Linked DNA regions of Macaca fascicularis. The protein of the gene in region 1 purifies or fractionates together with the protein of each later gene. This does not show direct contact. Links are inferred from orthologs where the notes say so. Each region holds a gene or a part of one and is shown on either strand. Other genes may lie near its edges. The genes, in order: SS18, BCL7C and ARID1A.

Region 1 (9,868 bases):
TATGATTTCATTGGGCTCACCTGGATAATCCACATTAATCACAGTATCTCAAAGTCAGTTGATTAACCACCTTAATTCTATCTAAAACCTTAATTCCACTTTGCCATGGAACCTAACATAATCACAGGTTCTGGATTTGGAGGTCGTCATTTTTAAGGTGATGAAATTATTCTGCCTACTACACCCATTCATAGCGAAATTAGTTAACAGATAATATATCATAATCCTCTCTATAAATTGTGAAATAGTTCAAGAACAGTAACATTGTTTTATTAAGTGCAGAATAACTGCATATCATGCACAAGGGCACAGAACATGCTAAATGTGAAAAAAGGACATTTGATATTTAAGGTCAGCAAATTTTCCAAGGGTAGACTGCCCTCTCAAGCACTTTGGATTATAGTCCTAAAATGTCCATTTTTCCTTATTATATTATTACATTACAAATCTTGTCCTTGTTTAGTAATTTACAATATCCCATTTATTTGTACACATTTTATATGTTAAAATTGAGACTTAATTAAAGGATCTAATGGAAGGTAATCGCTTAATTAAAGGATCTAATGTAAGGCACAGAGGCTAGTGCATAATAAATGCTAAATAAATAAACATTATTTTTAATAGCTTTTTAGATATGGCAGCTACTTTTCAGGAAGTTCAGTGAGATGTAGAAGTGACCTGTCCAGTATTATGCCATGGGTAGAATAATTGGGAACTCCAAACCTATGCATCTTTCACAAAGAGTGAAAGCTTTCCATAGGAATTACTTTTTTTTTTTTTTTTAAAAAAAGCAATGCTTTTCTATATCACTGAACCAAAAAATATAATTGATTCAGTTCATACTTAATTCATTCTATATTTGATACTATAAGAAGAGATGAAAATGCCTCTGATAGGCTTTGTTATAGTCTACTTTGAATGAAACCTTCCATAGTATCAAAAATAAAAGTCCTTTACAGAGAATTGGGAAGGGTGATTTGTTCTTGCCTGAATAATGATTAAATAAATATATAGATGTATGCTTCTTTCTTTACGGTCTTGAAATCTGTGGGAGCCACAACTCAAATTGACTCATCAAATGCCACAGGGACTGTGAACAGAAATATTTTGAAAGATATTACCTGAGGGGTTTTGCTCTGAGCCCAATTATGAGCAGACAGGCTTGGTCTATGCCTTCCCAATGTATTCTAAAAATTTATGACAGCTCAGGGGCTTAAAATACCAGCACATTTGGTAGTACAGATACTCTACTAATTCTAAAACATACATATTAAAGAAATGCTTGTATGAAAGCAAAATTATTTTAGTTATCCGTACATATTTTTTGTGGATTAAGATAATTTTTAATGCCATGGTTATATAGTTTCACTAAATATTGAACATATTACAGGAGCACTTTACTTTGTCAGTTCATAAAAATATATTTAAGGAATACACGGTCAGGTGTGGTAGCTCACGTCTGTTCTCCTAGCACTTTGGGAGGCCGAGGAGGGTGGATCGAGACCAGGAGTAAAGGAGTTTGATAACAGCCTGAGAAAAATGGTGAAACCCTGTCTCTATCAAAAAATACAAAAATTACCCAGGCATGGTGGTGCATGCCTGTAGTCCCAGCTACTTGGGAGGCTGAGGTGAGAGGATCGTTTCAACCTGGGAAGTCGAGGCTGCAATGAACTGAAATTGTGCTACACTGTAGCCTGGGTGACAGAGTGAGACCCTGCTTCAGATGTGTGTGTGTGTGTGTGTGTGTATTTTAAGGAGTACAGATTTACATAAAACAGTTTAAAAATTGAAACATAAAAATCAAACATGGACAATTTTTTTTAATCTTGTTTTTGGTTAAATCTGCCTACTTCATATTCATTAGTGTGAGTAATCAAGAATTAACTGTTCACGCAGATTATTTTTCTTATTCTGATCCACTGTATATGTTCTTCAATTTAGGATTATTCCAAACTCCTTCTACCTCTTGGTTATGTGACTTGAATTCCTTCTTTGGATGTCTCTCATTCAAGAGCAGTTTAAATAGTGGGACTGATTTTTTTGGTTGGGGAGATGGTTGCCTGAGTAGCTTACCTTTAAGTCCTTAGAGGACTTTCCCAGTTTTAGGCCAACTTCCCTTATTTATTCTCCTTTACTTCCTTAACTAAATGCTAGGGACTGTTTATTCTCCTCCTTCTACCAACTCTGCTGCCACTCAGTCTACCTTGGGATTCCTCTCAAAACTAATGGTCAGGTGAGATGGGACTTATTATGTTCCCCTAAGTATTCCCTAACTCAGGACTCTTAAACAACAAAGGCCCCCAAATTTTAAGAAAGATCTTTCAGGCTTCAGTCTCAATCTTTCCTCTTTCCGAATTTTCTGTTTTTCCAGGTCAGGCTGATTGGACTGATTGGGTTTTAGCAAGGAAGCTTGAGGGTGAAGTAGTTCTCTTTTCTGGCTGGACTTATAGAACAATGCTTTTCAACCGATTTCATGTGATCAGACACAGAAAATAATGGTATTTTTACAGCATACATGGTGTCACAGAAAAGACTGTGGTTATCCATACCTGGAGGCTATGGGTGCTCTAGGCCCTACCCAGCTACTCTGAAGAAATAAACACCTCAGGGCAACCTGTAACCTGTTTTCAGTGGATTTCCCTTTCTCACCTTGGGGAAGCTGTAATTTAAACAAAGAAGGTACCTATCTCCGGGTGCCTCCCTGGAATAGAAGCCCCCTTGGACTATTTATTTTTTGCTGGGATATGGAAATTAGACAAGTGTTCCTATTGGTTCTTGTTGCCCTTTGAAGTTTCAGTGCTATCTGCCAAATGCACAGAACTGGAGCAGTAGGACTATTTACGATTCATGTTTCCTATTGAGATATTGTTCTTAGCTACTAAGTACTAAGGTACTTTTGTGTAAAGCATGAGACATGACTCTGCATGCCAGGTGTTGAGTGCACAGTGATAGTGGTAGACAAGTGTTGGTTTCCAAATTCGACAGAAGTTTTCCAATTTGGTGTGGTTACCTTAAGTCCAGCTATACCAGAGTGTTTTCTTCAAGGCTTAGAATAGTGAAAGACAACAGTTAAAATTTTAAGAATAATTGCTATCAGTAGGAGTATAAACTTTCTTCCCTTTATCCTTAGAACAGCTTGAGTCTTCATCCTTTAGGTCTCAGTTTAAATATAAAGGGGAATACTTTTCACACTAACTAATGTAGGTGTCCCTGTCATTCTGTTAGTCCTCCCCCTTTTTTTTGGCTATTTTTTCTTGGGACTTTACATATATACATATTTCTGGTCTGTTAGTCCCATTAGTGTATAAGCTCCTTGAGAAGAGGTTCCATGTCCAGCTTTTTCACAATTGTACCCCAGGTTTCCAGTATAAAGTCTAATAAACAATGCATCCAGATTTAATCAATGAAACTCTTGACATTTTTGTGAAAAGCATTTATTTGATACTTTTTTTTTTTTTTTTTTTGAGACAGGGTATTGCTGTGTCATCCAGGGTGGAGTACGGTGGGGCAGTCATGGCTTACTGCAGTCTCCACCCGCTGGGCTCAAGTGATCCTCTCACCTCAGCCTCCCGAGTAGGTGGAACTACAGGTGCACACCACCACACTCAGCCAATTTTTAAAATTTTCGTAGAGCCAGGGGTCTCACTTTGTTGCCCAGGCTGGTCTCAAACTCCTGGCCTCAAGTGATTACATTTTTAAAACAATGTATTTTTTCTTTATTTTTCCAATTTATATGAAAAATGGAAATATTTATTTTTTATTATTCATTAACGTTGTGTAACACTTTATATAAACTTTCCCTTTGTGTTATATGGAAGTCTAAATTTACAGAATACTTTAAAACCCCACGGCAACACAAAACCCACATTTGTCCGTGTTCCTTCCGTAATTTGAAAATTTTGCCTTTTTCCCTTACACTGACTTGAAGCCTGGCAGCTTGGGCCTAATTTACAAGGCACTAAGCACTCTTAAAAAACAGAGTGTGAGGATGCCCTGTTTCACAACTTAATTCCAAAGAGCCAAGTCAGACGAAATCGACCCACTTTCCTGCTAAGGGTTTGTCCCACGAGGCGAGCTCTTCTCTGTCCGCTCCAGCCAAGTTGGCCGATTGCCCCCGAGCACTGGACACAACCTTGGTGTCCCGGTTTCGGGTCAGGGTTACTTTCTAATTGTTATGCACGACTTTGTGCATGCGTGCGAGACTGTGGACTCGGAGGTGCGCATTTGGGGCGTAGCCGAGCCATTTAAACCAGCGAATCCGCGTTCACCTTATCCTTCCACCTCTGTCCTATCTCCGCAGATGCTCCACGGATTGGCACGAACTCCCGAGTGCTGACCTTCCTCCCCTCTCCGGGCTGCCCGGACATCTCGGGGCAGCGACTTCTTGCCAGGAGGCGTAAGTAAGGATGAAGTTGGAACAACTGAACTAGGTCTAGGGCACGCTCCGCAACGCAGTCGGGGAGACGCTTCAGAGCGCCGCGGGGGAGGCAAGTTGCAACCGCGCGAAGGGGGCGGGCCGGCTCGAGCCGCTCGCATTTCCTGTGACAGGGGCTGCCCCAGCCTCTCCCTCTCCCGCGGCGGCGGGACCATTTCCTGAATCGCTGAAGCGGAGGGAGGACTAGGGCGCGACTCTACCATTAGCGCGAAAGGCCAGGGGGTGCCCACAAGGAGAGGTCGGGGGATGCGAGGACGGTCAAGAAAGTTCGGCCGGGGCTGCGGGTCCCCCAGAGTGCGCAGAAACGAGACGTCCCTGGGCCAGAGTGCCTCCTTCAGGCCTGCCCCGCCGGCCGTCCGCTTGGCCCTGGAGCATCCCCCCTCCCCGCATTCCCGAGGTGGTTCAGCCCGAGAGGCCGGCGTCTCTCCCCCAGTTTGCCGTTCACCCGGAGCGCTCCGGACTTGCCGATAGTGGTGACGGCGGCAACATGTCTGTGGCTTTCGCAGCCCCTAGGCAGCGAGGCAAGGGGGAGATCACTCCCGCTGCGATTCAGAAGGTGAAACCGCGCTGGGTTGGGGATGCCAGGCCCTTCCCGCCTCTGGGAGAGACGGACACGGGGGGAAGGGCCGGGCCCGGAGTCGACCGGGCCGGGCCAGGGGCGGAGGCGGAGGCGGGCCTGCTGGGAAGCAGCCGTGTGTGGGAACCGGGGCTGCGGGCTGTGCCTGAGTTGGTGGCGGAAGAGGGTGAACCGGTTTTTCTCGGAGTCTTTCGCGCGTTTACGCGCTTTTCTACAGACACAAAAGCCCAAACAGCCGCCGCCTGATTTCTCTAGGGATGGGGCGGCGTTCGGGCGGCGGGGCGCGTGCGCCCGGCGGCGGCCGCGCTGGGAAGGGCGTGTGTCGGGCCGGGCCCCGCGCGTTGCTCCGGAGTTACTTTGGCGTCGCCCCGCCCCGCGCGCCGCGGCTGCTTCGTGCGGACCCCACCGCGGGCCGCTGCTGGCGGAGGGAAGTCGGAGCGCAGGTCGCTGCCCTGCAAACTCAGCCGAGTTTGGGAGCTCTCAGGAGAACTTGGGGAACGCTGGAGGGAACCTTAGTAGAGTCTGAGGAGCGGGCAAGGAAGGTCCCCATGGACTCTGAGGTTATCCCCAGAGCCTCTTCTTCCCTTCTACATCGCCGCCTATTCATTTACTTCTGCAGCAAGTATTTATTGAGCGCCTATTTTAGGCGCTGAGGCGACTATGGTGAGTCATGGTCCCTGCCTTCCTGGAGCTTACAGTCTAGTGGTGGAGACTTCTGTCGTAACCAGTTAATATAAGTCGTGATAAATACAGAGGGAGCTGCCTCCTTTTTAAGGATAGTGCTGCTACAGTCGCTGCTGTGTTACTGCCTGTCGGAACACAAAGGTTCTTTATTGTCCTCTACCCCTTGTTGCCTACTAGCAAGGCAGCATTCTAAATTTTACTGACCTAGGCTTTCAAAAGTTGCTGCTATATTTAGCAGTTTACCTTAAATATTTTTGTTTTGTTTTATGCCGTGTAGCAAAGATCAAAATAGAAAAAAAGGTCAAGTTTTAGTACCACTCAGACCACATAGATTATGCTAATCGGTTTCTGTTTACTGTCAGGTTCTTCGTAGTGTGGCTTTTGACATTTGCCCAACTGTTGCTTTATTTTATGAACAAACGGGCTTGGCAGTGCCTGGAAATGCAGTGCTTTCATATAGTACTCTGAGTTAAGTCTACAGCCTGGCAAACAGCTCCAAGTACACACTTACGCAAAACTGCGTTTCTGGGGGGTTCACCTTTTTTATTTTTGTACACAGGAAAAGTCCAGAGTTTTTCTTTTTTTCTATAGTTTCTCTTACATACGTCTTAAGATATTTATCATGGATAATGATTAATTCCGAGTATGGTGATCAATTTTTTTCCATTCTCAGCTGAACAGAAACATGGGCTCCAAATTAAGTTCCTTATTCTGCAATGGGAGAGATTGATATTAGATGTGAGACACATATTTTAATGGTGACGTTCAGTAGTTTGAGGAATATACTGGAGATAAGTTGTGAAATCATTAGGTTGAGGATTTGATTCGTGCATTTTAAAGACTTTTTTTGGTCAATGATTCTATCTAAGAAATAACTGCATTTATTAGCAGATCATGTTAGTGGTTTTTTTCCCCCAGTAAGTGAAGATTGTGATTCACGTGCAGAAAAAAAGTGACAGTTAATGTTAAATGGATGTTCCTTTTATTGAGATAGAGTGATTATGGTATTGTACTAATACTTTTGAATCCTGGTAGGGTGGGGCAGGTTCTGGAGAGCATCTCCTGAGTCCCTTGATCTTGGAGCTGAATCAGCCTCTGAAAACTTAAGTGACTTGCTCAAAATGGCAAAACTGGCACTGAAACTAACTGGCCTTTTAATTGCTACAATCAGTACTCTTTCTTCAGCTCCACTTTACTTAGATGAATTATTTAACCCTCAAAGCCAAGATTACTTTGAATTGTTAAAAGATGATAGAATGATAAATCGGTATCTTTTTCCTCTTAAACTTTTGAGACAGCGTAATTATGAAGTAAACTCATAAAGTCTGTAACAAATATTATACATGCATAGAAATTACTATCTTTAATTATTATCTCATAATTGGAGAATCACAAAACCATGCTGTTATAAAACTTGGAAACTAGCCAGCTACTTCATCAAGACTCCTGGGCTGAAGTTTTCATGTATTTATTTCATTCTGGAGAAGTACAGAATTTTTCTTTACTAATCCAAACCATTAGAATGATGAAAAGCCAACTCGGACTCTTAACTTTAGTCTTAATTGGCTAAGCTTCTATTACAGATAGCAGAGGTAATTAAATGTTTGATATAAAAGAATTCAGATTTTCGTTTCTGGGCTTGTTTATTCAGAGGGAGAATAATTGGAATATTAAAACGTTATTGATTAAACATGGTATCATTCCAAAGGTGTAAAATTAGGATTTTTTTGTGGTGAGCTATCGTATATATTAAAAAGACCCAAGAGGATTCAATTTCTGTATAGATGCAATATTTCTAGAAATCTGAAGGGAAAAAAACTCAGTTACTGAAAACATTGTCCATATGAACTGTGCATGGCATAATTTTACAAGAGATTTAAACAGTACGTAATGAAATTTTATGCAAGAGAGCTGCTGATTCACTAATCTTGCTTTAAATCATATTTATTATTAAAATGAATTTTAAAATACTTTGTAACAGCGGGTAGCAACGTTAACAGAAAATCATTTTAAGGAAATTTTGTTTTTTTATGTTTCCATGTTTGCTTAATGATTTATGATATGTAATGATTGTTTGGCGGGGAGGACAGTATTTTGTTAAGGGGTACACTTTAGAGTTCTTGTACAAGCAGTATTTACTAATGCCCTCCCTCTCTGAATTTTCTAGTTTTTTATTTTACTTGATGCACTAGTTTTATGCTAAACCTTTTCTAATTCTGTTTCAGATGTTGGATGACAATAACCATCTTATTCAGTGTATAATGGACTCTCAGAATAAAGGAAAGACCTCAGAGTGTTCTCAGTAAGATTGATAAAAAACTTTTTTTTTAAATTCATTTTTTGTATTGGTTAGTTTTTTACTTTTTACTAACAGCTTTATTGAGAAATAATTCACATACCATACAATTCACCTATTTTAAAGTGTACAATTCAGTGTTTTCTAGTATATTCATAGAGTTGTGCTGGTATTAGGTCAGTCGGTTTTACAACATTTTTAACATCCCCAAAAGAAACTGAGTATCCTTTGGCAGTCACTACCCCCCCGCCCCTCACCCCCTGACAACTACTAATCTACTCGCTGTGTGAATTTGCCCGTTGTGACATTTCATATAAATGGATTGATATACTATGTGGTCAGTTTTGACTGACATTTTTCACTCTGCGTAGTACTTCTGAGGTTCATTCATGTTGAATCATGTTTCAGTACCTCATTCCTTTTTATTGGCAAGTATTTTTTTCCATTATGCAGCTGTACCACATTTTATTTATCCATCGGTGATAGCCTTTTGTGTTGTTTGTACTTTTGACTAATTATGAATGATATTGCTATGAACATTTGTGTACAAGCTTTTGTGTGACTTGTTAATTTATAAAAGAAATCTTTCTTTGGGAGGAGATTGGGTATCACTTCGTTTCTTATACTTCTTACCCTGCATGATACAATAATGACTTCAAATATATGTGTAGTCTGATCTGTGGAAAAGTTAGATCTTCATTTATGTAGGATATTGAGTTGCATCCATGTATGTGGTGGAGAAAACAAAGCTTATATCTAATAAATAGAGAATTGATTGTCATTCATAAGGACCAAACTTTCTACCTTAAAGCTATGTATCTGAAGTAAATAATATGCCCTAATAGAATCTGATGTGGTAGAATGAGTTGAATATATTATCAAAAGTATTTAGAACAGCACTGTCCATTAGAAATACAAATGCGAGCCACATGTGTGATTTTAAATTTTCTAGTAGACACAGTAAACAAGTAAAAAGCAGGTGAAATTAATATTAGTAATACATTTCATTTAACCCATTAGTTCCAAAATAGTATCATTTCAATATCCAATTAGCATAAAAATATTGAGATATTTTACATTTTTTTTTTGTTGTTCTAAGTCTTGGAAACCTATTGTGCATCTTGCTTTAATAACACATCTCATTTTGGATTAGCCATATTTTACTGTGTCTAGTGGGTGCTATATTGGTCAACACAGCTGTAGAATATAGTTGACCCTTGGTATCCATGGTGAATTGATTCCAGGACTCCCCATGGATACCAAAGTCCAAGATGCCCGTGTCCCTGGTATAAAATGGTGTAGGATTTGCATATAACCTACTCACGTCCTCCTGTAAACTTTAAATAATCTCTAGATTGCTCATAATACCTAATACAATGTAAATACTCCGTAACTAGTTGTTATATTGTATCGTTTAGGGAATAATAAGAAAAAAGTCTGCATGTTCGGTACAGACACAACCATCCATTTTTTTTTTTTCCAGAATATTTTCAATGCATGGTTGGTTAAACTATGGATGTGGAATCTGTGGATACTGAGGGCTGACTATTCTCACCCTGGTTTTGGGATGCATCTGTCTTTCCTAGAGACCTCACTGGTGTATCCTCAGGCAGATAATTCCCACCAACCTTGGCCCTTGCTTTGTTTGGTTTTCACATTGTATTGGTCTCTTGCTGTCATTTGATTTAACCGCTGTTTAATTCCAGGTTGCCATTACTTTTTCCCCTTTGTTTAAAAATATTTTTAAATTTAAAAAGTCATATATGGTCATTGTAAAAAAAAAGTTATAAAGTGTGAGTTTGTGGAGATAAGTCACCTTTTACATGCCACTTACTATCTTATCTCCTTCCCCTCCATAGGGTAACTGCTTCTGTTG
Region 2 (9,868 bases), on another chromosome or scaffold:
TACAGAAAATTATATATATACACATATATCAATATATATACACACACAGGGAGAGAGAGAGAGAGAGAGAAAGACAGAGTCTCGCTCTTTCACCCAGGATGGAGTGCAGTGGTGCAATCTTGGCTCACTGCAGCCTCCACCTCCTGAGCTCAAGTGATCCTCCCGCTTCAGTCTCCTGTGTAGCTGGGACTATAGGCATGTGCCACCACGCCCAGTTAATTTTTGTATTTTTTGTAGAGACAGGGTTTCACCATGTTGCCCAGGCTAAAAGTGCATATAATCTTGTGGGACCTCCATTGTCTGTACGGTCCACCTGTTGACCAAATGTTGTTATGCAGTGCATGACTGTACTGCCTCCACAGTGCAGCCTCCAGAATCACTCCTCCTTTGTAAATGAACTCCTTCCTTTGACTTAAGGCCATTTGCATGAGTTCCAGGGTAGCTCTTTTAATGGCTTTTCTGTGTATATCTGCCTTAGCCTGAGAGCCCTTTGAGGACAGGGCTTACATATTTCCAACTCAGTGACTGCTAGTGGACTTCGACATTATCGAAGCACAGAACTTCACATCGGAAGGTGCCTTGAAGGCCTGTTTTACAGATAGTGAGACTGACGTCCATTTCCATTTCTCTCCCTGATGCCCCTTCCGTGCGAGGCGCTGGTCTGGCTAGTCAGCGAATCAAGGTCCGCAAGGGCCAGTGTCTGGCGCCCCGGGAGGGACTCCATTTCCCGAAACGCACAGCGCGCTCCAGATGCGCGCTGGGGAATGTAGTGACCCGGTGCCCCGCCCCGCCCCCACCCCGCGCCAGTTTCCCAGCACCAGTCGCGATCCTCAGCAGCCCAGACTTTCGTCTCCTGTTGTCACTTACTACTTCCTGTGACTCCAAGACTGCCTTTCCTTACTCTACCCCTTCCTCCAGTCCCCAGCTCTGATTCTTTCCCGAGACTCAGTGGACGCAGGGGTCCTGCCCCAACCCCGACCCCAGTCCTCCCCATGAGTGTACTCGAACCGTTGATCTAAGTCCTGAGCCCAAGTCCCTGAAACCTCAGCCCCAGGCCTCCTCTAAACCCTAGCGCCTGTCGTTTCTCACAACTCACCCGCTCGCTCGTTACCTGACACCGGAGCCCTGCTCTTCCCCGTCAAGGCCGCTCCCCTCCCGGCCCCGGGGGTGGCGGAGACCCAGACCCCCAGCTCCCAACCCCTCTGACTCCTGCGGCCCTCAGCGACCCGGCGTCCGGTCCCTCAGCCCCTTACCCAGATTTCCCTCCCTCCGGCTCATGCTGGCCCCTGGCTGATCCCGGCTCCCTCCACGCCCCCCTTTGGAAGGGGGAGAAAGGGGAAAGGGCTGGGGGCGTGGCCCGGGCGCAGCCAATCAGAGCCCAGACCCCAAACATTTCACCCTACCCCCCCTTTTCAGACAAGATTCCTTGGCCCTGAGCTCAGTTCCTCGCCCGTGGGGCCTAGTAGGGGAAGGGGCCCGAGCTGGGAGGCAAGTTGTCCGCCGGGTGGACAGGACCTCAGGGCGGGGGTGTCAGCGCCTGGAAGGCAGCCCAGTGTCCTGCCGTGGGCTCAGGCTTGGACTTGAGGCAGGGGCTGCTTTGGTGGGAAAGGTGAGGAGACAGGAGAGGGAACAGCCGGACTGGCAGGACAGGAATGCGCAGGCCCTCTCTCTAGTCTGGGGCGCGGCCTGCGAGAGAGGCCACGATAGGGGCCGTCAGGCTCGGGGCACGCTTGTCCAGACATACATCTCCTGGCATATCTTAGATGGCTTCCAATCTCATTGTCACAACCACCAGAAGGGAGACAGATACACTGCTCTCCTCTCCTTAGCAGGCCTAGTAACAGAATCACACACACACGCCCCCCAGAAGAACAAGCTTCAGAGACCTGGACAGGAAGTCACACCCACGCATCAACCCCATTAACCTGGTGTAGACTGAAAGGAAGGCACATAGGGATGATCATACTTGGTTTCTGGCCCCCCCGAGGGGCTCGCGGTCTGTCGGGGAAGCCCATAGACAATAGCAGCTAATGCGGTTTGTGAGTGAAGACTGGGAGGAGGCCCGTGTGTGTGCGTGCGCGTGCGTGTGTCTGCGTGCGTGCATGCGTGCGGATGTGTGTGCGTATGAGCGTGCGTGTGTGCGAGTGGATGTGGTGTGAGGGTGCAGGTGTGCGCGTGTGCATGCATGTGCGCGTGCGTGTGTGTGTGCGTGTGCGTGTGAGTGGGTGTGTTGCCGTGAGCAGACAATGCTGGAATAAAGGAAGAAAGAGTTTAACTGGAGAGGGCACAGTAGATGGAATTGAGCCAGACCATTAGTAGGGCCCACAATCACATGTGCATTGACCGTAAATAGTTATTGGGCATTTACCATGTGCTGGGAACTGTTCTAAGAGCTATACACACATTAACTAATTCCTATGTTATAGATGCGGAATAGAGAGAAGTGACTTGTTCAGGGTAATACAGTTGGGTGTGGCGCAGCTGGGATTTTACCTAAGCAGCTTGGCTCAAAAAATGCTGTCCTAATCATGCTCCTAACCCCTTATACCCTTAACCTCGGGACATGGTCACGCCCAAACTCACAGACACAACAGGCACATCTTGAAACACACACACACACACAGCAGCACAAATTTTGACATGGTCTTATCTGCTGACAAGCCAGCCTCAAATAAAGTCAACCAAGACACACTCACTTTCTTTAAGTAATGCACATTTTATTTAAGTCATGTGATGGATTTTCACAGAGTACATATGCCCAGGGAACCAGCACCGGATCACACAACAGAACTGGATCAGCTCCCAGAAGCTCTCCCCTCATCCCCTCCCAATCCTAAGGGCGACCACTATCTTGACTTTGGTGCACTTTAAATTAGTTTTGTCTGGTTCTGAACGTAATACACCTGGAACCATCTAGTATGTACTGTTGTATTTGGCTTCTGTCACTCAAGATTTCGTCATGCGACTTGTCTATGTTGCTGGGTGTAGCCGGGCATGTCACTCCCGTTGCTGTGTCTATGTGCATGGTAATGAGTAGGGCATCATTCATTTTCCATTCTGTTGATGGGTTATTTCCAGTTTGGGGCTGTTATGAAAGGGCTCTGAACGTTCCCAAGCACCCTCTTGGTGCTCACACCTACACATTTCTGCTGGGTGTTGACAGCCTAGGAGTGGAATTGCTGGATCACAGAGGTGGCATATGTTCGGCTTCACTAGAAAACTGCCAGTTCTCAAAACGTCTCTACCAATTTACACTCCCCCAGAAATACAAGAGAGGTTCAGTCGCTCTACTTTCTCGCCTCCACATGGTGCGGTCTTTTTCACTTTAGCCATTCTGGTGGGTAGAGACCTACTCGTATTCGCAGCGCCTGGCGCGTAATTGGCGCTCAGTTAACAGGACTGTTGAATGAATGGATGAATGAGTGTTGGGCGGTGTAGACCGAGAGCCTGGCGAGGGCGGACACACGCACGCACTCCACACACAGCGTTTCGCGGACACCCACCGCGGCGCACGCACCCCAGGACACAGACCCTCTCGAGCACCCCGCGCCCACGTGGTCTGAACGCACCGCCTCGGCCCTGCCTCGCGCGTCCGGCCGCCGAGCAGTACCCAACTCCCGCTCTCGACAGCGGGCAGGGGGCGCTGCGCGTCCAGGCGCTCCGAGGGGGCGGGCCCGGGTCGGGGCGGGGCCGGCCGGGCTTCCAGGCCTGGGCTCTGGCCGCCCGCGCCACCGGGCCGCTCCGGGGACGGGCCGGGGCGGGGCACGGCGGCAGGAAACGGGGCGGGGACTCGCGGAGGCGTTGGGGACGAGAGAGGGCGCGGCCAACTCCCGGGGGGACGGCAGGCCGAGAGCGCGGCGCCCGGGCCTGGCGCCGAGCCTGAGCCCGCCGGACGGGAGGCGGCCCCGCCGCGGGCTCGGCTCCGGCCCCAGCCCCGCCAGCATGGCCGGCCGGACCGTACGGGCTGAGACCCGGAGCCGGGCCAAGGATGACATCAAGAAGGTGATGGCGACCATCGAGAAGGTCCGGAGATGGTGAGCGCTGCCCGGGGGCCAGGGACGGGACACGGCGGGACCACCACCACCTAAGGCGTCTAAGCTGCCTTCGCCAGCTCTGGGCCCCGGTGTTCGCTGTATCCCCGCCCACTAGCTTTGCCCTGGATCTGTCCCCGTTCCCCTGGCTACTCCTGGGGGTCTACAAAGCGTGGTCCCCAGTCGTGCTCTCCCAGAGTGGGAGCCCCCGTTTGTGCCCCGCCCCCTAAAGCTTTGACACTCCTTCTGCAAGTGCGCCCCGAGATCTGCAGGTCTCTGATCCCGGGCCAGGCCCATAGCCACGCCCCCCGTGTGTGCCCCAGGGGTCCGCAGAGCCAGGGCCCAAATCATATCCTCTCTCTAGAGGCACCCACCGCCTGTGCCCTGGGGTTTGCAGGGCTCTCTTTCTCCATGTAACTATGCCCCATTAGCAAAACTGTTGCTACCCTCCTGTGCCTCCCCAACCTCTGCAGGTACCCCCAGATGTGTCCGGCTCCTGGGGGGGTGGGTCTCCCCTCAGGCCTCTCTGACCCAGTCCCCCACCCTCCCACAGGGAGAAGCGATGGGTGACTGTGGGCGACACTTCCCTTCGTATCTTCAAGTGGGTGCCAGTGGTGGACCCCCAGGAGGAGGTGAGCAACCCCCATTCCCACAAGGCCCTGCATCTGTGCAACCTCAGGCAAGCTCCTCCCCACCCTGACCTCTACCTCCAGCTCCCAGAGACCTCAGATGCAGCAGAACAGACAGATGGGAACCATCATTAGCAGCTCCTCCCCTTTTTCCCTCTTTTCTGTTCCACACCCTGAGTTCGAGCCCTTTTGCTTCTCAGTGCCTCAGTTTCCTTAGGTGTATGGTGGGGCTTTCCAAGAGCTCTGACCCTAATCCTCTAACCCCCAGGAGCGAAGGCGGGCAGGTGGCGGGGCAGAGAGATCCCGTGGCCGGGAACGTCGGGGCAGGGGCGCCAGTCCCCGAGGGGGTGGCCCTCTCATCCTGCTGGATCTCAATGGTAGGTAGGGATCCTGAAATGCGGAGGGCTGTGGGGACTGAAGGAGTGTATTAGGGATCTCAGGCCAACCATCTCGGCTCTTGCTCCCACAGATGAGAACAGCAACCAGAGTTTCCATTCGGAAGGTTCCCTGCAAAAGGGCACAGAGCCCAGTCCTGGGGGCACCCCCCAGCCCAGCCGCCCTGTGTCACCTGCCGGACCCCCAGAAGGGGTCCCTGAGGAGGCTCAGCCCCCACGGCTGGGCCAAGAGAGAGGTAGGACCAGGTACCTCCCAGGAGCCCTCTCCTCTAAGTCCTGTCTTCTCCAGAGTCTAACCTACCAGCTTATCCCTATACCTGCTCCCCATCTTGTGCACCTTCCTCAAGGTGCCTTCCGACTCCTGCAGAATCTCTCTGTAGTTGCTGTCTCATTCCTCTGGTCTCTTAGGATCTATAGATGACATATCACTGTCTGAGACTTTCATGTAAATTAATTTTTTACTATCTTTCTCCTCACTCTCATGTCAGTTTCCTGAATGTTGGGCCCATATTAATCCTTTTTTTTTTTTTTTTTTTTTTTTTTTTTGAGACAGGGTCTCACTGTGTCACCTAGGCTGGAGTGGTGCAGTGGTGTGATCATAGCTCACTGCAGCCTTGAACTTCCTGGGCTCAAGCGATCCTCCCGCCTCAGCCTCCCAAGTAGCTTGGACCACAGGCATATGCCATTTGTATTTTTTGTAGAGGCAAGGTTTCACCATGTTGCCCAGGCTGGTCTCAAACTCACTCACTCAAGCGATCCTCCATCTTCAGCCTCCCAAAGTGCTGGGATTACAGGTGTGAGCCATCACACCCATACCCGCCCCCCCTTTCTTTTTTTAGAGAGAAGTTCTCTGTCACCCAGGCTGGAGTGCACTGGTGCAATCATAGCTCACTGCAGCCTCAAACTCCTGGGCTCAAGGGATCCTCTGGCCCCAGCCTCCCAAGTAGCTGGGGACTACAGGTGTGTGCCACCACACCCAGCTAACTTTTAAATTTTTTGTAGAGATAGGGTCTCGCTATGTTGCCAAGGTTGGTTTCGAACTCCTGGCCTGAAATGATCCTTCTGTCTCAGCCTCCCACGGTGCTGGGATTATAGGCGTAAGTCACTGTGCTTGGCCCTATGTGATCTTGTTCACTACTGTATTCTCAGAATAATATGGGACACAGAGTAGGTGCTCAGTAAATATCTGTTGAGTGAATAAATAATAGTGATAGTCATTGGGGTGATTAATAATAACAGGAATAACAACAGTATTTATTGAGCTCTTACTGTGTGCCAGGCGCCCTGGTAAACACTTTACATGGTTGGGTTTTTTTCTTTTCTTTTCTTTTTTTCCTTTGAGTTTCACTCTTGCCCAGGCTAGAGTGCAATGGCACAATTTTGGCTCACTGCAACCTTCACCTCCCAGGTTCAGGCAGTTCTCCTGCCTCAGCCTCCTGGGTAGCTGGGAATATAGGCATGAACCACCATGCTTGGCTAGTTTTATATTTTTAATAGAGATGGGGTTTCGCCATGTTTTGCCAGCCTCGAACTCCTGACCTCAGGTGGTCCGCCCACCTCGGCCTCCCAAAGTGCTGGGACTACAGGCATGAGCCACCATGCCCAGCCTTTTTTTTTTTTTGAGATGGAGTCTTGCTCTGTTGCCCAGGCTAGACTGCAGTGGTGTGATATCAGCTCACTGCAACCTCTGCCTCCCAGGTTCAAGCGATTCTTCTGCCTCAGCCTCCCAAGTAGCTGGGATTACAGGCATGCCCCCACACTCAGCTAATTTTTGTTTTTTTGTTTGTGTGTGTTTGTTTTTGAGACGGAGTTTCATTCTTGTTGCCCAGGCTGGAGTGCAATGGCACAATCTCAGCTCACCACAACCTCTGCCTCCCGGGTTCAAGTGATTCTCCCGCCTCAGCCTCCCGAGTAGCTGAGATTACAGGCATGCGCCACCATGCCCCACTAATTTTGTATTTTTAGTAGAGACAGGGTTTTTCCATGTTGGCCAGGCTGGTCTTGAACTCCCGACTTTAAGTGATCTGCCTGCCTCAGCCTTCCAAAGTGCTGGGATTACAGGCGTGAGCCACCGTGCCTGGCCTAATTTTTGTATTTTTAGTAAAGATGGAGTTTCACCATGTTGGCCTGGCTAGTCTCGAACTCCTGACCTCAGGTAATCCGCCCGCCTCCGCCTCCCAAAGTGCTAGGATTACAGGTGTGAGCCACCGTGCCCTGCCAACACTTTATGTGTTTTTTTCGCATTTAATTTTCACTACAACCTTATAAGGGTGATGATCTTGTTATGATCCCTATTTATAGATGAGGAAACTGAGACCCAGAGAAGTAACTCAGCCAGTGAGCCAGCATCTTGGGCCTGGGTCCTCCTCAGCTCTGCATTTTTTCTTTTCCCGCTTTGAGACAGAGTCTTACTGTGTCGCCCAGGCTGGAGTGTAGTGGCACGATCTCACTCACTGCAACCTCCGCCTCCCAAGTTCAAGCAATTCTCCTGCCTCAGCCTCCCGAGTAGCTGGGATTACAGGTACACATCACCACACCTGGCTAATTTTTGTATTTTTAGTAGAGATGGGGTTTCACCATGTTGGACAGGCTGGTCTTGAACTCCTGACCTCGTGATCTACCTGCCTTGGCCTCCCAAAATGCTGGCATTACAGGCTTGAGCCACTGTGCCCAGCCAGCTCTGCTTTCTTCCATGCAGTCAAACCCGTCTGGTTGGCACCTCTTCCTCCCAGGCCCTGCCTTGTCCCTGGCCTTCCCATCTCTCACCCGTTTTTGGTTCTAGCTGGTCTCTTCTAGTCACCCCGACACAGCTGCCAGAACAACTTTTTCCTTAATATTTTTTAAGCTTTGCTTTTTTGTTTTGGAGACAAGGTCTCACTCTGTCGCTCAGGCTGGAATGCAGTGGCGTGATCATGGCTCACTGCAGCCTTGGATTCCTGGGCTCAGTCAGCCTCCTGAGTAGCTGGGACTACAGGCATGCATCACCACGCTCAGCTAATTAGTGTTGTTATTTTTTATAGAGATAGGGTCTTACTATGTTGCCCAGGCTGGTCTCAAACTCCTGGGCTCAAGTGATCCTCCTCCCTCAGCCTCCCAGAATGTGAAACCCTGTCTCTACTAAAAATACAAAAAATTAGCCGGACATGGTGGCACACACCTGTAATCCCATCTATTAGGGAGGCTGAGGCAGGAGAATTGCTTGAACCTGGGAGGCGGAGGCTGCAGTGAGCCGAGATCGCACTACTGCACTCCAGCCTGGGTGACACAGTGAGACTCCATCTCAAAAACAAAAACAAACAAACAAACAAACAAACAAAAAGAACATCCTGATGTGGGACTGTGGGCTGGGTCTGGGTCTAGATAGTGCCAAGCACTTGTATACCTTTGCTATTATAAAAACGGTAGCAAGCATTTATTGAGCACTTACTGTGTGCCAACCACTGTGCTTTACCTGCATCTGCTCATCTGACCCTCACAACAGCCGCATGAGGTAATTACTATCATTATCCCCATTTTACAGATGGGGAAACTGAGGCCCGTGGAAATTAAGTAGCTGGCCCAAGGTCAGGATTTGAACCGAGGCAGTCCAAGCCCGGATTCTGTGGCAACCTAGCACACATTCCCTCTGCCTCACATGTCGTACTTTCCTGTCTGTCCACCGCATCAAGACCTACTCACCCTTGAGCTCCCACGTCAGTGTTCCCTCCTCTGCTTCCTAAGGCACAGCCAGGTTCCTGCTCTGTCCTCTCTGCTCCCATGGCCCTCTGCCTTCTGTGACTGGGGCCTGTGACCGTCTGTTTCCCCCACTGTCTGTGCTGCTGGCACAGAGTGGCTGTTTAGGGGATGTTTGTTACCTTGACGTTCCAGATCCCGGGGGCATAACTGCTGGCAGCACCGACGAACCCCCAATGCTGACCAAGGAGGAACCTGTTCCAGAACTGCTGGAAGCTGAGGTGAGAGAGGCCAGAAGGCTACACTCCTGGGTCTTGGAGGGAATGGGGTATCTGGGGCAGCCGAAGGCTTGGAGCCTGCATCCTGAGGCCCTGGAGGAGAGGCAGACCTGGGACCGAGCTGAAGGCTTAGGGGCTGGGTTCTTGGGACTGAAAAAGAAAGGGTGTTTCAGAGACAAAGTGCTAAGGGCTGGATCAGGGCTGATTTGAGACCATTAAAAGCCTGACAAAGCCGGGCGTGGTGGCTCATGCCTGTAATCCCAGCACTTTGGGAGGCCGAGGCGGGTGGATCATGAGGTCAGGAGATCGAGACCATCCTGGCTAACACGGTGAAACCCCGTCTCTACTAAAAACACAAAAAATTAGCCGGGCGTGGTGGCACGTGCCTGTAGTCCCAGCTACTCGGGAGGCTGAGGCAGGAGAATTGCTTGAACCTGGGAGGTGGAGGCTGCAGTGAGCCGAGATCGCGCCACTGCACTCCAGTCTGGGTGACAGAGCGAGACTCCTTCTCAAAAATAAATAAATAAAGCCTGACAAAATCATGGTGCTCCTCCATGCATTTTCAAAAAATATCAAAAAATATCTTAACTGTAAAATTAGCGTAAGAAAATCCCTCGTAAACCTCTGACGTTTCTCACGAAGCTACCTCGATGCATTTTCAGAAATATCAAGTATCAGGTTCGTTCCTCCACACAGTGTCACTGTCGTTGTTGTTTTTGGTGCCTGCTTCCTCTGCGTCCTGAGCATCTGGCCCTGGGCTTGCCTCCTGGGCCCAGGAGGGGAGGGGAGTAGAGGCTTTGGAGAAGGTAGAGGCTCGGAGGCTGGACGCCTGGGTTCGGTGGAGCTCACGCCTGTCCACCCTT
Region 3 (9,868 bases), on another chromosome or scaffold:
GCCTTCTGTGCTAAGACTGGTGACCTTACCCTTCCTTGGTAATATTGTTGGTGCTTAGCCTTCCAGATCTAAAAACAGCTTAGTATAATAAGTACCAAGTACAAAATTGTTAAGTTTCTCTTTTGATTGACTATGAAGTGGCTATCAAGCTTTTGTTTTTGTTTTTGTTTTTTGAGACGGAGTCTCGCTCTGTTGCCCAAACTGGAGTGCAGCGGCATGATCTCGTCTCACTGCAACCTCCACCTCCTTGGTTCTATCAATTCTCCTGCCTCAGCCTCCCGAGTAGCTGGGATTACAGGCGGGTGCCACCACGCCCGGATAAGTTTTTGTATTTTTAGTAGAGACAGGGTTTCACCGTGTTAGCCAGGATGGTCTTGATCTCCTGACCTTGTGATCCGCCCGCCTCGGCCTCCCAAAGTGCTGAGATTACAGGCCTTAGCCACTGCGCCTGGCTCAAGCTTCTTTAAGTGGGTTTTTCATACAGTATTTTTTGTATTAGTTGGTGAATACAAATCTTCAATGAGCTCAGCAGAAATAAGAAATCCAAATTCCTGATCTGCCCAGTGGTTTTATAAAACCCCAGTCCTGTTTTTTTGGTTTTTGTTTTTTAAAAAAATAGTAGTAGTAGTAGCTTTACTCAGTCTTTTCCACAAAAATAAGCTCACTGGTCAGCAAGCTCACCAGTAAGACTGGTGAGTGAGGCTGTGCTTAGGAGAATATGAAAGCCTTGGTACCTTTTTCCTCATATTAGACTGGCCCTGGGTGTTATTTTTGTTTGAAACCTGCCACAAGCCAGACCAGCCTGGACTTTTACTTATTTTTTGTTTTAGTTTTGGGGAAAGTGGGGGTGAGGGTAATTTTTATTTTATTTTGGGACAAAATAGGCTGGTTGACTTACGCCTGAGGCTCTTTTTTTCACAGCTACTTTGGGGAAAAAAAGTCTTATTCAGAAATTAACATTTCTCAAAATGTGTTTATTATTCTGAAATATAAATGACCCCAAATTGCTTAAGTTTGAGATGAATGGGGAAAAGATCTAGAAAAGCATTTACTGTGTGCCCACCAAGTTTGAGGCCTCCTGGTTTGCTCCTTTGGCATTCTAGGTCCTTGGCAGGCACAGTTTTACCGCGAAGAGCTGTTGAATGCCATTCCAAGTTCATTCCATTTTTCTCCGTGTGTGGATCCAGTTCGTATTTTACAGCTCCCGTCTGGGAGCCGGTAACATAATGAATTGCCTTGACTCTCGCTTCAATCCACTTTCCTCGCTTAATATGCAGCCCAAAGTTTTGCAACTCGCTGTCAGATGGTAGTGCTAGACTTTCACACCGATCCCAAAGCCTCCGCTGGGGCTGTTTCTTAACACGGAGTTACAAACTTTAAGAAACAGACAGCTCCAGACGGAAATCCACGCCAGGCTTTGAACTCTGCTTCTGGCTTCCGTCAACTGACATAGTTGCCCTTTTGCTCAAACTCGCAGCTCTAGTTCGCACTCGAGAGAGCTCTGCTGGGCGTCTGCTGCTGTGCCGCGGCGGGAACGTGTGGGGGCAACAACCTGGCGCTCCAACGATTCTCCACGCCTTAGTTAGGAACCTAAGCAAACCCTCACTAGGGTCCCTGGGCTTAAAACGACTTCTCCCACAAGGATTGGGTGGAGGAAGGAGCCGAGCCCGATCTTCTGTTTGTTTGTTGAGTTTTTCAGACATTTAGGGGAAGCAAATTGCGAGAGAGGAAGGGCTGTCTTCCCTGCACACGTTTCCCTCTCCTAGCAAACCCTCCAGGCCTCGGTTCCACATTTTGCAGTTGACTCTCTGGATTTTAATAGGTTGTTCCCTTATCCTCGGGCCCAATCCATGCACACTGTGCAGCCGGATAAAATGGGAGCACATCCTCTGCCATTTTCAGCCGGTTTGTCCTGGCAGCCCTGCCCCCTTCCTTGGCTGCTCTGCCGCTGGAGTTAATGCGCCCAGAAACTCCGCCTGATACTCCAGGCCGCAGATCCAGTCCATGTTTGCTAAGTGCCGTGCGGTCGGGGACGGCGATAAGAACTCTCCTGTGAGGGAGAGCTAGCGAGACTTTAGTCCGGTTTCCATGTCAACGATTCAGTCCATATTTGCCATCAGGCTGTTGGCCGAGGCGCTTTCGCGAGGGTAGCGCTGTCCTAGTCCTAGTTCTCCAATCTGCGCCGGGATTCCTGAGCTGCCTGGGTGTGGGGTTAAAAGGCAGGGACCGTGGGGGAGAAAACTCCACCGAAGGGAGGACCCACAGCCCCCAGCCGGGGTCTCGCTGCTCGGGCCAGCCACGTGCCCAGCTCCTCCCTTCCCCCCCTTTCCCGTTGCCACTGCCCCTAGGGAAAGCTGATGGGCCAGTTTCTAAAAAAGTTCCCTCAGCTCAACAGTCCCTGGGATTGTGGTGTGGGGCTCTAAAGGTAGAAGTGGAAGAGAACCCTAGTGAATTAAAAAACAAAAAGAGAAATGCCACATTATCTCCTCCAACCCAGGTGGATAGATTTTTGTGCACTTTACCTTATTGCTAGAGAAAAATGGTGACTGTTTTCAAAACAGCGTGCCCACGTGTAGGGAAGGAGATTTTTGGCGCTTTCCATATTTCACAGCCATTGAAGAAAGGGGATGAGGGCTTTCTTTGGAGAGAAATCCATTCTAGCTTCCAGATTTTCACTGGGCTCCAGGTTTCCCATTACACCCCAGCTCTGAGGAAAATGGCAGGGTAATTGCATGTAAAAAAAAATCCTCATTTGTGTGCAGGACTCAGGACTGTTTGCCAGCTCAGAGGCAGTTGATTAAATAGCCAAGCTCTATTTATGAGCAGCCTATAATTTGGTTTCTAGGACCTAATGCACCGGGGAGAGTTGTTGCCCCTGAGGACTATGAGTGAAAAGAGGGCACTGGCCCATACCAGTCAGTTGGATCTTCTTGGTAGGCTGCTTTGGTTCTTGGCTTGAGGCCGGGGGAGGGGAGAAGAATAAAGCTGTGGGATTTTTTTTTTTCCACCACTGTTAGATTAACAGGAAGGTTTTGCCTTTTCAATGTAGGATTCACTAAGTTTTCTTGCGGGGGAGAAGTGAGTTCAGGCTTTGGAATTATTCATAGTGACCAGGGATATGGCCAGCACTCCGGGGTCCTGCATAATCTAATGGTCCTGTGGCCATGAAGTCTCCCTTTACAAAATCTGAGGGGGAAAATATCCTGGTGTCTAGGAACACTGGCCTGGGCCTTTCCCAAGGCAGCCTTGGGTCTGGTGAGGAGCTGGAATCCCCTCTGGCTTTCGTAGCCTGTCATGTCAGAACATTCCAAGTCAGCCTGAGGAAGAAAAGGCTGCTGCTGGGATTTGGTGGGGCCTGTAGATCAGGACAACACTGGAGTTTTCTGTGTATGTCTTGATCTTTTCAGATCCAGCTCAATCGGGGTCTCTTAGAATGTAAATGGTAAACTTTAAACAATTTTTACGCTACAGGATAGAAAACAAATCTGAGAAGCATCCATTTTCTAAGTGACTTGTTGGACTGTGCCTTTTCTTCAAGGAGAAAATGGTTTCCATTTTCTGCATCTCTCTTCTGTAATGGTTTGAACACTCAGGTTCCTGCAGTCCCTGGAGCCTCTTCTGTGGGTTTTCAGTCTTAGAAGGTACTGTCTTTGGAGACTGGGGATACTGGTCATTGTGGGCTAAGTTTTCCTGAGAGGGAGTGAAAACAGGGTTTAGGTTCTCCTGCTGGGTAACTGTTGTATGCTCCTAAAGCAACTTCAAGTGGCCTCCATTTTAAGTCAGTGGTGAGATGATCAGTTTTGACTTCAAATCCATTTTGATATTCTGATTCCATTGTTGAATGTGCTCACAACTTGACTTTTTTTTTTTTTTTTTTTTTTTTTTTAAGGCAAGTAGACCGAAGGCAGCTTTGGTGACTCCACTTCTTTTTAAAGTCACCCTCCTCTGCCCTCTGACTTTAAGTGACAGGCAGTTCCCTCCCCTCTTTCAATTCTGTAAAATGGGGATAATCCGGACCTCATGCCCCCAGAGCCTTGTGAGGACCGGCTAATGAGGGCAGGCGAGTGGGAAACGAATCATCTGAACAATGACCAGTCATTCCTTTGGGCTCGCAAAGAGGGTAAAAAGGCTGGGTCTTTAGCGGGGTCTGTAGAAGGCTTTGAAGACGAAAAGTGCTGTAGAGGTGCTAAACAGCAGCCAACGGACCGGGCCCGCTGCCAGGGGGTCAGGGCTGGGCCGAGGCGGCCGCGGTCTCGGGCTCTGGCCAATTTTGCAGTCGCGGGTAAAGTTCACGCTGCCCGCTCCCCTCGGTACGGCCGGGAGGGGACAGACCTGGATAGGGACGCCGGGAGGGAGGCGGCGCAGGCTCCAGAGATGCGCGGGCTCCGGGCCGGGTTTTCTCCGAAGCCTTCGGCGGCGGCGCTGCCTAGCGAAAGCGGCTAAGGGCCTGCCGCCGCCGCGGCTTGTTCTCTCCCCTCCTCCTTTGTGAGGGGTAGGGAGCGAGTCCGTTCCACGGCCTGCGCCCGCTCCGCTCTCCACTCCGGGTTTGCAAGGCGGCCGCGACGGCGCTGGGTAAAATGGCAGTGCTGAGCCTCGTGTCGGAGTGAGGGGGACTCGGAGGAGAGTGGGGCGCTCTAGCCGCTCAGTCCGGCCGACCGCTTTCTCGCCCGCCCGCTGCCGCGCCGCAGCCTCGACCCAAGCCGCGGCTGGCGAGGGAAGGCAGGGCGCCCGGCCCGGCCCGCGCTCTGACTCTGGCTCCCGGCGCCCGGGCTGCTGCCGCGCGCCCTCCAGCCCGCCCGTCCCGGGTCCCCCTCCCCCCGCTCCCTCCCTCCCTCCCCGCCCCCTCCCCCTCGCCTCCCTCCCTCCCTCCCTCCTCCTTTCTCCGGCAGCAGAAAGCGGAGAGTCACAGCGGGGCCAGGCCCTGGGGAGCGGAGCCTCCACCGCCCCCCTCATTCCCAGGCAAGGGCTTGGGGGGAATGAGCCGGGAGAGCCGGGTCCCGAGCCTACAGAGCCGGGAGCAGCTGAGCCGCCGGCGCCTCGGCCGCCGCCGCCTCCTCCTCCTCCGCCGCCGCCAGCCCGGAGCCTGAGCCGGCGGGGCGGGGGGGAGAGGAGCGAGCGCAGCGCAGCAGCGGAGCCCCGCGAGGCCCGCCCGGGCGGGTGGGGAGGGCAGCCCGGGGGACTCGGCCCCGGGGCGGGGTGGGAGGGGGGGAGAAGACGAAGACAGGGCCGGGTCTCTCCGCGGACGAGACAGCGGGGATCATGGCCGCGCAGGTCGCCCCCGCCGCCGCCAGCAGCCTGGGCAACCCGCCGCCGCCGCCGCCCTCGGAGCTGAAGAAAGCCGAGCAGCAGCAGCGGGAGGAGGCGGGGGGCGAGGCGGCGGCGGCGGCAGCGGCCGAGCGCGGGGAAATGAAGGCAGCCGCCGGGCAGGAAAGCGAGGGCCCTGCCGTGGGGCCGCCGCAGCCGCTGGGAAAGGAGCTGCAAGACGGGGCCGAGAGCAATGGGGGTGGCGGCGGCGGCGGAGCTGGCGGCGGCGGCGGGCCCGGCGCGGAGCCGGACCTGAAGAACTCGAACGGGAACGCGGGCCCTAGGCCCGCCCTGAACAATAACCTCACGGAGCCGCCCGGCGGCGGCGGTGGCGGCAGCAGCGATGGGGTGGGGGCGCCTCCTCACTCTGCCGCGGCCGCCTTGCCGCCCCCAGCCTACGGCTTCGGGCAACCCTACGGCCGGAGCCCGTCTGCCGTCGCCGCCGCCGCGGCCGCCGTCTTCCACCAACAACATGGCGGACAACAAAGCCCTGGCCTGGCAGCGCTGCAGAGCGGCGGCGGCGGGGGCCTGGAGCCCTACGCGGGGCCCCAGCAGAACTCTCACGACCACGGCTTCCCCAACCACCAGTACAACTCCTACTACCCCAACCGCAGCGCCTACCCCCCGCCCGCCCCGGCCTACGCGCTGAGCTCCCCGAGAGGTGGCACTCCGGGCTCCGGCGCGGCGGCGGCTCCCGGCTCCAAGCCGCCTCCCTCCTCCAGCGCCTCCGCCTCTTCGTCGTCTTCGTCCTTCGCTCAGCAGCGCTTCGGGGCCATGGGGGGAGGCGGCCCCTCCGCGGCCGGCGGGGGAACTCCCCAGCCCACCGCCACCCCCACCCTCAACCAACTGCTCACGTCGCCCAGCTCGGCCCGGGGCTACCAGGGCTACCCCGGGGGCGACTACGGCGGCGGGCCCCAGGACGGGGGCGCCGGCAAGGGCCCGGCGGACATGGCCTCGCAGTGCTGGGGGGCTGCGGCGGCGGCAGCGGCGGCGGCGGCGGCGGCGGCCGCCTCGGGAGGGGCCCAACAAAGGAGCCACCACGCGCCCATGAGCCCCGGGAGCAGCGGCGGCGGGGGGCAGCCGCTCGCCCGGACCCCTCAGGTACACAGCTGAGTGGGGAGGGGGCTGGGGCGAGCGTGGTCCTGGGGGTGGGTGGCGGCTGCGGTCAGCGGGCCACAGCCTTGGGCTCCCCTCAGTCTCGGGCCCCCACTGCTGGGGAGCTGCCATTGTCTGGCTCTTCTCTCTTAAAATGGCTGCCTGTCTGCCTTCCTCTCCTTTCCTCCTCCAGCCTTTGTGTCGGGCTTTCCCAGAGGTGTCTGCTTCTCTTGTTCCTCTCCCTTGGTCCCTTCGAACTCCAGGGGTCTTGATGGGGGTGCGGGGCAGAGTGTGTGGGGAAGGGCCTGGCCGGGAGTGAGGGGGTGCTGGGGGCTCAGGTTAGGAGTGTAGGCAGTGGTAGGAACCCAGGAGTTGAATGAACGTTTCTTTGCTCACCTGCCGCTCCTCTCCGTCCCCCGGCCTTCCTCTGGGCCGCCCCCCATCTGTGCTTTCAAAGAGGGCCCCTAGAGCTCGGAGGGACCTCGAGGGAGGGCAGGGGACTGCTTGGGAGCTGCTAGAGGCCGGCTGCGGTTCACCTAGGGCAGCCCTTGCCATCTCCTGTCTTAGGCTCCGCCGGCCCAGTGGCCTGGGCTTCTCTCTGGAAGTGCTGGTAAACAGCTGAGTGATTGGAGTAGTAAGTGCAGATTGCTTTGGTTTGGGATTTGAATTATGGAGGTAAAATCCTTCTGTCAAAGCCAGGAGACAGTTGGTCTTAGGTTGACATCCTATCTGTGATCTGATTGGCTCCCCATCTCCTGCTCTTGGCCATTTATAATTGCCTCTGATGTAATGGTACAACAATCCTGATGAGCTCATAAACTTTTACACTCTGCTTTTCTGCCAGTGATAACCCAAACCATCGCTGCCACTATCTGCCTTTTATTCCAGAGCTGAAATTGGCTGTGACCTTGAGGAGGGAGGTTTAAGTAGCAATACTGTATCAGCAGGAGCAAAGCCTCAGACAGCCTGCCCTTGTTACATTGTGCCCGAAACAAAAGAGGGGGCAATGGCATTTTGCTTGTACCTTGGATTTATTTTGCTTGTTATGTTTTATGCAGCCTGAAATGAATTCTGTGTTGTCAGAACAGTAGCTGAGTTTTTTCTCTACAATGGGTTTGCTGTTTGTTTTGGTTTTGTGACTTTCCTGATGGTATAAATGACTTCTTTGATGGCTCTGAAGATGCATTTGTCTTGAGTAATTTTGACACTGGTTGCTTTGCAGAATTGAAATGATTTTACTGGGGTTTTTATTGAGTGGCAAATGTGGGATCTTTGTGGGTGGGGGAGAAAACAATTTTCGTTTTTTAGTTTTTTCTTTTTAAGAACTGGGAGCTTTCTGAGGAATTTTATATTAGGTTCAAGCATTCTGTGTTATGGAAGGCTGGCCTCATTCTTTGTTTACATGTTGAATCTTGTTAACACTTTCTTTTGTTAATTGAACTTTGGAATAGCAGCTTAATTTAAACGGAAGTTGGTGTCTTTCATGATCTTGAGGGACTTTCTCCTAAAGGCTTGGTTTGGTGAAATTGTTTTTTCCTGGAATAACAAAAAGTCTAGTTTTCTGTTTTGTCATCAGTCATTTTAGAGCTTTGAAATAGAGACTGGCCAATTTATTCCTTTGCATTTTAATGTACCACTTTTTTTCTTGTCTTCCAAGACATGAAGATATGACCTAGAATGACACTTGAGATTAGCTTAGAAATTGCAACTTCGAAGTATCTTTTTATACTATTCTATCTTGTTTTATTTTATTGCTTTTCTTCCATTTTCATCATGCTCTGTCAGCAGTGCTTTTGGTCAGGGATACTGAGTATTCTGTGGAGTCATACATGTTTTCAAAGAGGGGGAAGCTCCATCCATCGCCTCCCAAACCCCTTGCGCTTTTGTGCTAGGAGATTTTGTTCACTTACTAGCTGTATTCCCAGCCCATCCTAGAGCTACTTTTCTACTCCTCCTTTGAGCTGGGCATTTTGAAATTAGCTGTGTTAGAGGGTGGGCTTGGAGCTCTGTGCCTTGATTCTACATCTTCCATGATGTTGTGTATCTGGGCAAGAAATAGGGAAATGTTACATTGTTTTTCTAGTGTCTGGAGGAAAAGTTTTGTCTTAAAAGACAGCATCCTCTTGTCTCTGGGTCATCCTATAGTCTGAACCTCTTTCCCTTCATTCCCCTTGTTTTGTTTGGTTTTGGCTGAAAAGTTTACCTTTCTTGAAAACTATTAGAATAAGTCATTTGGGGTAGTAAGTCAGGGTTCATTTAAAAGCAAAATTGATTTGAACTCTGCTGGTTTGGAAATATTTAGTCAAACTTTTTAAAGAAAAAGCCAACTCTTTTGGTATAATGATTTCTGTTTTTCAGTCATTAAATTATGGAACACTTTTTCTGTGTGGATGATAGGAGAATGGATACAGTCCCTGTTTGGAAGCCTGTCTGCTGCCTTTGGATGAATTTTCTGATCTCTTTTATTATCACTAGACCCACACACACACAACATAGATTCCTAATTAATTTCAGCTCAGTGGCCTACTCCCCAGAGGCCCAGGGAATGGGCTGGTGAGCATTCACTTGTTTGAGAGAGAGTGCAGCTTCCAGTTTTGTGGACTGCTTCAGGTGTGTGGTAGTAGTCTAGGTGAGGGTTGTAGGTTCAGACTTTGTTCTGAATTCCTTTTTGCCACTTGAGGATGAATGTTTTTTCAGACCATGATGCTTTAGTCTTGAACATTCTGAAATTAAAAAGTCTTGCTCTGCCCCCATCTTTCCCTGGCCCAGTCTTAGATTAAGAATATTTTGCAGCGACTTAATTAACATAGCTAAGGTGATAATGTTTTCATTTGACTCTGCTGTTATGAAATAAAGATTAGGTGTGTGTATTGTGACTATGTCTTTTTCACAGGAGCTGGGAAGGTCCTAGCAGACAAACTTCTACTTTATTCCTTTTCATAAGTAGCGTATGTCAAGTGTTGAATCCTGGTACTGATGACATAGTTTTAGGTTACTTACACACACGAAGTTGATTTAAGGCCTTTTATTGGAACGCTGTTTAGCAATAATACTTTGAGAGTAGTACCAGTTTACCAAGGTAAAAAATGAAATACAATAAATAGTCCAGGAACCAGTTGGATTTGATTGTAGAAGTTTGGTTGTTAGTTTCTACTATGGAAATATCAAATGATATTTCTGACTCCTGGGAAACAGATACAGGAATCCTAGATTTATTATGGGAATGCCTACTGGCAGAAATTCTAGGCTGGCTGAAATACAGGACTCTTGGAGCTCTCTCAAGTAGGAGGGACCAGGAAAACCACACTGAGATGGCACTTTAGTTGTGGGGGTTTCATGTTTCTCTACTGTTCATGAGAGAACTGGGGTGATGAGGATTGAGATGGTGGTGTGAGAACAGAGAAAGCAGCCAGGACCGAGTTTGGCTTCTTGTGTATTGGGCCCTGTGAGGACTTTTTAGGTTTCTTGC

Evidence for each region.
Region 2: the proteins of SS18 (region 1) and BCL7C purify together in Homo sapiens (affinity purification with mass spectrometry; 3 studies listed by BioGRID and IntAct, counting the BioPlex papers as one, with this or other methods). This does not show direct contact. The link is inferred for Macaca fascicularis from reciprocal best matches to the Homo sapiens genes SS18 and BCL7C.
Region 3: the proteins of SS18 (region 1) and ARID1A purify together in Homo sapiens (affinity purification with mass spectrometry; 7 studies listed by BioGRID and IntAct, counting the BioPlex papers as one, with this or other methods). This does not show direct contact. The link is inferred for Macaca fascicularis from reciprocal best matches to the Homo sapiens genes SS18 and ARID1A.

Annotation. Positions count from the first base shown.
Region 1 is NC_088392.1:63,685,002-63,694,869, forward strand, and holds the start of SS18 (protein SSXT), read left to right. Parts: upstream 1-4,882; 5' UTR 4,883-4,922; coding exon 4,923-4,991; intron 4,992-7,921; coding exon 7,922-7,998; intron 7,999-9,868. UniProt on the Homo sapiens protein: Appears to function synergistically with RBM14 as a transcriptional coactivator. Isoform 1 and isoform 2 function in nuclear receptor coactivation. Isoform 1 and isoform 2 function in general transcriptional coactivation.
Region 2 is NC_088394.1:29,064,908-29,074,775, reverse strand, and holds the start of BCL7C (B-cell CLL/lymphoma 7 protein family member C), read left to right. Parts: upstream 1-3,696; 5' UTR 3,697-3,942; coding exon 3,943-4,034; intron 4,035-4,584; coding exon 4,585-4,663; intron 4,664-4,928; coding exon 4,929-5,037; intron 5,038-5,129; coding exon 5,130-5,291; coding exon of another isoform or gene 5,292-5,301; intron 5,302-8,922; coding exon 8,923-9,008; intron 9,009-9,868. Other genes in the region: CTF1 (cardiotrophin-1), read right to left, coding at 1,967-2,015. UniProt on the Homo sapiens protein: May play an anti-apoptotic role.
Region 3 is NC_088375.1:208,409,911-208,419,778, reverse strand, and holds the start of ARID1A (AT-rich interactive domain-containing protein 1A), read left to right. Parts: upstream 1-4,887; 5' UTR 4,888-5,259; coding exon 5,260-6,405; intron 6,406-9,868. UniProt on the Homo sapiens protein: Involved in transcriptional activation and repression of select genes by chromatin remodeling (alteration of DNA-nucleosome topology).